Linked DNA regions of Sus scrofa. The protein of the gene in region 2 purifies or fractionates together with the protein of the main gene of each other region. This does not show direct contact. Links are inferred from orthologs where the notes say so. Each region holds a gene or a part of one and is shown on either strand. Other genes may lie near its edges.

What was found.
Region 1: the proteins of FAM120A (region 2) and RBM45 purify together in Homo sapiens (co-immunoprecipitation; 3 studies listed by BioGRID and IntAct, with this or other methods). This does not show direct contact. The link is inferred for Sus scrofa from reciprocal best matches to the Homo sapiens genes FAM120A and RBM45.

What each region holds. Positions count from the first base shown.
Region 1 is NC_010457.5:83,799,088-83,802,901, reverse strand, and holds part of RBM45 (RNA-binding protein 45), read right to left. Parts: intron 2,587-3,814; coding exon 2,460-2,586; intron 1-2,459. UniProt on the Homo sapiens protein: RNA-binding protein with binding specificity for poly(C). May play an important role in neural development.
Region 2 is NC_010445.4:42,860,481-42,864,394, forward strand, and holds the start of FAM120A (constitutive coactivator of PPAR-gamma-like protein 1), read left to right. Parts: upstream 1-1,113; 5' UTR 1,114-1,177; coding exon 1,178-1,651; intron 1,652-3,914. UniProt on the Homo sapiens protein: Component of the oxidative stress-induced survival signaling. May regulate the activation of SRC family protein kinases. May act as a scaffolding protein enabling SRC family protein kinases to phosphorylate and activate PI3-kinase.

The DNA.
Region 1 (3,814 bases), on a different chromosome or scaffold from region 2:
ACTTTAAAGAAAAGGCTTATACAGGAGTTCCCGTCGTGGCGCAGTGGTTAACGAATCTGACTAGGAACCATGAGGTTTTGGGTTTGATCCCTGGCCTTGCTCAGTGGGTTAAGGATCTGGCGTTGCTGTGAGCTGTGTAGCCCACAGATGTGGCTCAGATCCTGCGCTGCTGTGGCTCTGGCGCGGGCCGGTGGCTACAGCTCTGATTAGACTCCTAGCCTGGGAACCTCCAAATGCCGCGGGAAGCAGCTCTAGAAAAGGCAAAAAGACAAAAAAAAAAAAAAAAAAAAGCTTATACATATGTGCACATGGGCGTATTTCAAAAGAGAAGGTTCATAGCTTTTATATTATTCAGTAGCTCCAAAAAGGATAAAACCACGTTCTTTTAATTCTTTCTTTGGAAATGCATCCTTGGTACAGTGGTTAGATTAACTGTCCTAAAGCAGTTTTTGTTATTTTTCTCCTTATAAAACAATATACAAGGGAAATTCTAACATGGACTAAGCTTGAACTCTTTATGATCTCCCATATATGGTTTCAAAGTACCTAGTTTACTTTGTCTTATAATTTTCAAACAGGAATACCAAGCTTTACTCAGATTGTTGCCTTCACTCTATTAAGCAAAGATCTTTATTTCTAGCTCGGTCTTCACTGCTCTTATCTTGTCCTGCCTATTCTATGCCAGATGCGAACCCTACCTCCTAATGTATTCCCATTTCATTCAGTGCACTTTTTTTTCACCACTGATAGGCCATCTCACACTTTTTTTTAATTTAATTTTTTTAATGGCTACACCTGTGGCATATGGACGTTCCTGGGCCAGGGCATGAATCTGAGCCGCAGCTGCCCACTTACATAGCAGCTGTGGCAATGCTAGATCCTCTAACCCACTGCTGGCCAGGGATGGAACCCTCACTTCCTCAGCAAACCAAGTTGCTGCAGTCGGATTCTTAACCCACTGAGCCACAGCATGAATTCACCTGTCTCACACATTTTTGAACATTTTTTCATTTGTCAGTTTTATTGAGTCTTCTGTAAATGGCAGTATCTTTGCTAGAGAGCTCAATAAACCTTAATTGAGGACCCAAGTACTATACTGAGTATTACTAATAACAGTACTAGGTACCTGGCATGACAGAGCTTTAGGAGTTCAAAGAGCTTTAGGAGTTCCCCTGTAATGCAGCGGGTTAAGGATATGGTGTAGTCACTGCAGCAGCTTGGGTCACTGCTGTGGCACGGATTCGATCCTTGGCTCAGGAACTTCCACATGCTGTGGGCCCAACCAAAACAAACAAAACAAAGCAAAAACCAAAAAGCTTTTAAAAAACCCTTCTATTACCCTTTAACTACTTTTTGATTATTAGATCGTGACTATCCAACATAATTGTATATTCCTTAAATGCCAGAGTTGCTATATATGCCATTTGTATCTCTCTACTTATATTCATGAGTATACCATAGGTATTCAATTAATGCTGGCTAATTGAAAAATTTAGAAGGATCTGAGAGAAAATTTTGATATGTCTCTTAGGGTTATCTAACAGTTCTAATTAACAATAATTATTTCCATATTTATAAATTTTTATACTATCCTGAAACCCACTAGTTGAATTATTCTACATCTCATTTCTAAAGGTCAATATAACTAGAAGTATGACAAAGAATATTTTCCTTGGCCTCTTTAAAATTCTTATTCAGGAGTTCCCTTCGTGGCTCAGTGGTTAACAAACCCAACTAGATCCATGAAGATGCAGGTTCAATCCCTGGCTTTGCTCAGTGGGTTAAGGATCTGGCATTGTCCGTGAGCTGTGGTGTGGTTTGCAGATGCAGCTCAGATCCCACGTCGCTGTGGCTGTGGCTATGGCTATGGCATAGGCTGGCAGCTGCAGCTCCAATTCGACCCCTAGCCTGGGAACCTCCATATGCTGCAGGTGCAGCCCTAAAAAGAAAAAAAAAAAAATCTTATTCTTCAGAACGTATAACAGCAATGGCAGAAGGTCTGATTAATGTCACTTGAGCTTGAAATTAACCTGATGTATGTTTTTTTCTCAAAGCTAGTAAATCTTAAACCCTATCCCTATTATTTATATGTCTATTAGTACACAGTTCTATTTAGAGTTTAGGTCAAACATGAACAAATATTACAAAATACTTGAATTTCTTAAAAATATAGAGAATAAATTTAAAAAACCCAATCCAACCTTAAGTATTAAAGAATTTTTAATACTTAAAATTCTAAAATAATTTAATTAACCCCCCAAAACTGTAGAAATAATAACCAATGGAAACTTAATCATGGCCCCCAAATAATTTTCATCCTACAACTATATGTATTTTAAATCTTATTGCTAAGATTAAGTTAGCAGGTAGGGATACAAGCACAAACCAGTATTAGATTATTAGAATAATTAGAATTTTTTTCAAATGTCTATAACAATGATAAGTGAATACATCCTTACTTCGATCACAGTTTTCTATTGCTTGGGCAGCTTGTGATGGTTTTAAGTATCGAACGTAGCCCAAGCCTTTACTTTCTCCAGTTACTTTATTCTTAATAATGCTGCAGTACTCGATATCTCCATACACCTATGAGAGTTAAAAGAAATAATCTTAGAGAAGTCAAAATTAATAACTGAACAGATTCAGAACTAGGTTAAAATTTGTTTACTTGTTCTTTTTGCTTGCCAAAAGAGATCAGCATTTACAGCTATTTTTAATAATGCAATAAAAATGTCACAAACTAAATGAGGCACTAGAAAATAACCATAATAATGATAAAATCAAATAATAACATAACCAAAACGCTATTTTTGATTTACTGAGCATTTGCTTTACATATATCACCTTATTGTTCTCACAGTTCTTCAAGGATGTACATATATTATACTGCTTATTTCACAGATAAGGTAACTGGGCCTTAGAGAAATCAAATAACTTATCAAAATCATGAAGGGCGAGTAAGAATTTGCACATGGTCTGGAAAGCTCCAAAATCTTGCCTAGTGGTAGTTAAGAGCAGAGGCTCTGGAACTGAACCTTCTTTGTTCAAATCTTGGTTCAGCCACTTATTAAACTGGGCAGTTGACTTATCCTCTCTGTGTCTTATGTCCTCTTCTGTTAAATGGGGCTAACAGCTGTACCACCTCATAGGGTTGTTTTAAGGGTTAAAAGAACAAAGACACCTAAAGTGTATATACAGGGACTGGTACATACCACACAGTAAGTATTAGCTATTGTTATTCATCTGCCTTCTCACAGGAACATAAATGACTGTGTTTTCTTTTGAAGGAGTACCTCTCAAAGCATATCTTTGAAATGAAACACATTGTTTTACTCACAAAGTTAATACTCTATGTGGTGAATGTTTACTTTTTTTTTTTTTCTTGTGCTCATGGCATGTGGAAGTTCTTAGGCCAGGGGCTGAACTAGAGCCATAGCAGTGACTGGAGCCACTGCAGTGACAATGCTGGATCCTTACTTTGCTGTGCGTCAAGAGAACTCCAAATGTTTATTTTTAATGCTGGAAACAATATGGGATATAAATCCTTAGTGTTTATTATTTATTTTATAAAATATTCATGTAATAAATTAGTAATGTGTAATTACTATACATTTAGATCAAAATGCCATCAGTGTTTACTCAGAAAAAGAAGTTCATAAATACATAAGGTAAAAACTCTTTTCTACTATTGGGGTATACGAATATATATTTTTGGTACTTGTTATTTTTGAAGTATTTTGTACAATTCTCAATTGAGACAGGACAGAGGAATTACTTGTTTCTTTCCTTCCTGCTTACTGCCCATGTGATTCAT
Region 2 (3,914 bases):
CGATTAAAGCTGAGAGAGCAGGAGATCATTTCTAAAACTTGGTGACTACACCCAGCACACAGTCTAGTTCCTTTCTCCATTTGGGACAAATGGCTTCTGCTCACCATCCTCCCTCCCAGATGCACCCCGACGTCTACTGCCTGCCTACTCTTCAGTCTGCAGCCACCTCCGCCAGGGCACCGGTCCCACCTTTGGGTGACTGCCCCTGGGACCAGGACGAGACTCTTGGGGTGGCCACACCCCAGGGATGAGACCTCCTCTGGTGACCGTCTCTCAAGGGACTGGATGTGGCTTCCTTGAGGGGATGATACCCCAAGGTCAGGCTGAGGTCTCCTCGGGGTGACCAGCTCCTGGGGATGGACGCGGATTCCTCAGGTGACTGACTCCTGGAGACGGGAAGGGGCCTTCTCTGGGTGACCAGTCCACGGGGGCGCGAGAGGGCCTCCTTGGAATGACCGGCGCAGGGGATGACAATGGGGCTTTCTTATGGCCATCGGCGACGGGCCGGGCCTCCTCCTCGAGGCGACCAGCTTTCAGGATGAGAACTCTTCAGGGTGATCGGATCCCGAGGACACAACGTGGCCTCCTCGGGGTGAGCGGTTCGCAGCGGGGCCGGGAAAGGGATTGTCCGACTGGCTTCCGCGGACAAGACCGTCTGGGGTGACCGTACCCCAGGGATGCGAGGAGGCTTCCCCGGTGACAGCTCTAGGGGTCATAAAGCGGAGGAGGTGAGGCCGCCGCCCCGAGGCCTCCCGGAAGCTCGCGCAGACCCCGCGCACCGCCTGGGCCGGGCGCCCCTCCCGCGGGCCGGGGATCGTGTGGGTAGGGGTCTCAGGCTCCGGCTGCCCGCCCCGCCCCGCGGCACCGCCTCTTCCGCCGGCCCGCGGACGTCAGCCGTCGCCGCCCCGCCCCGCCCCGCCCCGCCGCTGCCGCCGCCGCCGCCCGCGCGAGGCCGCCTCCGCCTGGCCTGGGCCTGGAGCGGCGCACGGCGCAGGTCCCTCCCCGCCATGGCCCTGGGAGGCGGCAGCACATGGCGGCCGCAGCGGCCATGAGCGCGCCCGCGGCCCGGCCCGGCCCCCCCTAGAGCCCGCCCCCGGCCCCGGCCCCGGCTCGCGCCACGGCCCCGCCGCCCCCGGCCCCGCCGCCCCGCCGCCCCGCGCCCGCCGCCGCCGCCGCCATGGGCGTGCAGGGCTTCCAGGACTACATCGAGAAGCACTGCCCGAGCGCCGTGGTGCCGGTGGAGCTGCAGAAGCTGGCCCGGGGCAGCCTGGTGGGCGGCGGGCGGCAGCGGCCCCCGCACACGCCGCTGCGCCTGCTGGTGGACGCCGACAACTGCCTGCACCGCCTCTACGGCGGCTTCTACACCGACTGGGTGAGCGGCGGCCAGTGGAACCACATGCTCGGCTACCTGGCCGCGCTAGCCAAGGCCTGCTTCGGCGGCAACATCGAGCTCTTCGTCTTCTTCAACGGCGCGCTCGAGAAGGCGCGGCTGCACGAATGGGTCAAGCGGCAGGGCAACGAGCGCCAGACGGCGCAGCAGATCGTCAGCCATGTCCAGAACAAGGGCACCCCGCCGCCCAAGGTCTGGTTCCTGCCACCCGTCTGCATGGCGCACTGCATCCGCCTGGCGCTCATCCGCTTCCACGTCAAGGTGCGGCCCGCTGAGAGGGCGGGCGGGCTGGCCGGGGTCGGTAGGGGCCGACGGGCCGGCCAGGGGCAGGGTTGGAAGCCCGGGCCGGCCGGGGTCGCTTCAATTCAGGGTCAGGGTGGGCCGGGATCTGGAGTCCGCGGTCAGAGTTGGACTGGAGTCTGGAGTGGGCGGGTGGTCTGGGGTCCGGGCCTGGGTCTGAGTCTGGAGCCCGGGGCCGAGTCCGAGTCTGGAATCTGCGTTTGGGCCGGGGTTGGGATCTGGGGTCTCTGCGGGCCAGGAGCTGAAGTTGGAGCCGGGCTGGGGCCGGGGCCCCGGTGGGGGTCTGGGCCCCGGGGACCGCAGGTTCCTCTCCCCTCCTGGTCTGTCTGACGGACCTGCTGCAAAATGGACGCGCGGCCTGGAGTCCGGCCGGCGGCTGCGAGTGCCCGGGATCTGGGGGCCTGGGTTGCCCCAGGCGGTAGCTGCAAGCTCGGAGGGCACAGTGCCGCCCTTGCTGAGATCCCGCGTATTCCTCCACTCTTTAAAGCTCCTAACGTCAACTTTCATGAGACATTCGTTTTCGAATTTCGCAAGACTTGAACAGCAACAGGTTTTTTTGTGGGAGCAGGTGGGCTGGCTGGCAACAGGAAGGGGTCTCCATCCATTGAGGGTGGATTGAAGTTCTGCCTACTGCGGTCACTCCGGCTCAGCTGGGGGCAGTGACCTGGGCAAGGCCTGAGGAATTGGTCTCTTCTTGAGAACTCAGGCCTGGGTCCAGGTTCCCTGTAAGATGGTAGTTTTTCGAGAAATTGGTTTTTGTGTGCATTAGATTTCAAAGAGCCATAAAGTTTGACATGGAATTCTGTTAGTTCTGTACTGAGAGTCTGCGTGAAAAAGTCTTTGGTTCTGTGTATGTGATGTGAAACGAGTAGCTTAAAAGTCAGGGCGAAGAGAATGTGAATCAGAGTTTCCAGGATTTATTTCTCTGCACAGTGAAGAGTCTGCCACTTTGGGCTGTGCACTCAGGTAATCAGAGCTTCGACTGTCCAGCACTCTGCTGTCCATTTGGCAGAAGGCTCCTCCCTGAACTCAGGCCAAGGAGTGCTTCAGGACCCAGCAGTGATGGCAGAGATTACATGCAAATCAATGACCCTTGACTTGAGTTTCGATTGCTTCCTTTTCCACAGTGGTTCTTTTAAAAATTTTGGGGGGGGCTGTTTTGGTTTTCTGACTGCTGCCACTCTGCCTTCCAATGTGTTTGTCCTTCCTTTATTTCTGCTTGAAACTGTGCCTGATCCCAAAGTTTGTGAAATTCGAACTTCCTGACTGCTCTGCCTGTGCTGAGATGGTGGGGGTTAAGCCTAAAGTGATAGCGGAAGTCCCACCCGCCTCCTGTTGCAATTGGTGACAGGGCTGCTAAGTCTGCCGGTTGAGGCTGCTGCGAGAGCGTGGATTGGCCTGTGAGTGTGGCAGAGACCTAGCCTGCGTCCCTGGGGAAGTTCGGGTGAGAGCCGGGGACTGCCGCTGCTCTGCCCTGGAGCCTGTGCTCCCTGGAAAGTAAAACAGTACTGATTCCCAGGTGTGGTCCACCTTCAGATGATACCTTAAGAGGGTTAACAGTTGTCCAGAGATGGAAATTACTATTGAAAAGACTACGAGCTGTCTAGTAACGTGGCTTTCAGAAGAACACCTGAAATATTACTTAGGATTAGATTCAGTGTGTATACATGGTCGCTGTATCTGTTGAAAGGATGGCTGAATTCTTTTTTTTTTTTTTTTTTTTAATCTTTCCTAGGGCTGCTCCCTCGGCATATGGAGGTTCCCAGGCTAGGGATCTAACCTGAGCTGTAGCCGCCGGCCGATGCCAGAGCCACAGCAACGCGGGATCCAAGCCACGTCTGCAACCTACACCACAGCTCACAGCAACGCCGGATCCCCAACCCACTGAACAATGCCAGGGATCAAACCCGCAACCTCATCGTTCCTAGTTGGATTTGTCAACCACTGAGCCACGACGGGAACTCCCTGAATTCTTTTTTCATTGTAAAATTAGATTGTAAAATTTCTTGATATTTGTGCCTCTGCTCACTGCTCACTTTTACCTACTAAGTGCTCAGAATTTTGACCAGATCTTCCACTTAGGTTTCTGAATTCAAGGTAATTTTGTCTACAATTATTTTGCTTCAGATAGGCTTTTAACTTCTGATGTAGAATTACAATGTAGTACAGTTGTACACTTTAATATAGCAAGGACTCAATTCCCTGGTGGACACTTACCTGGCAG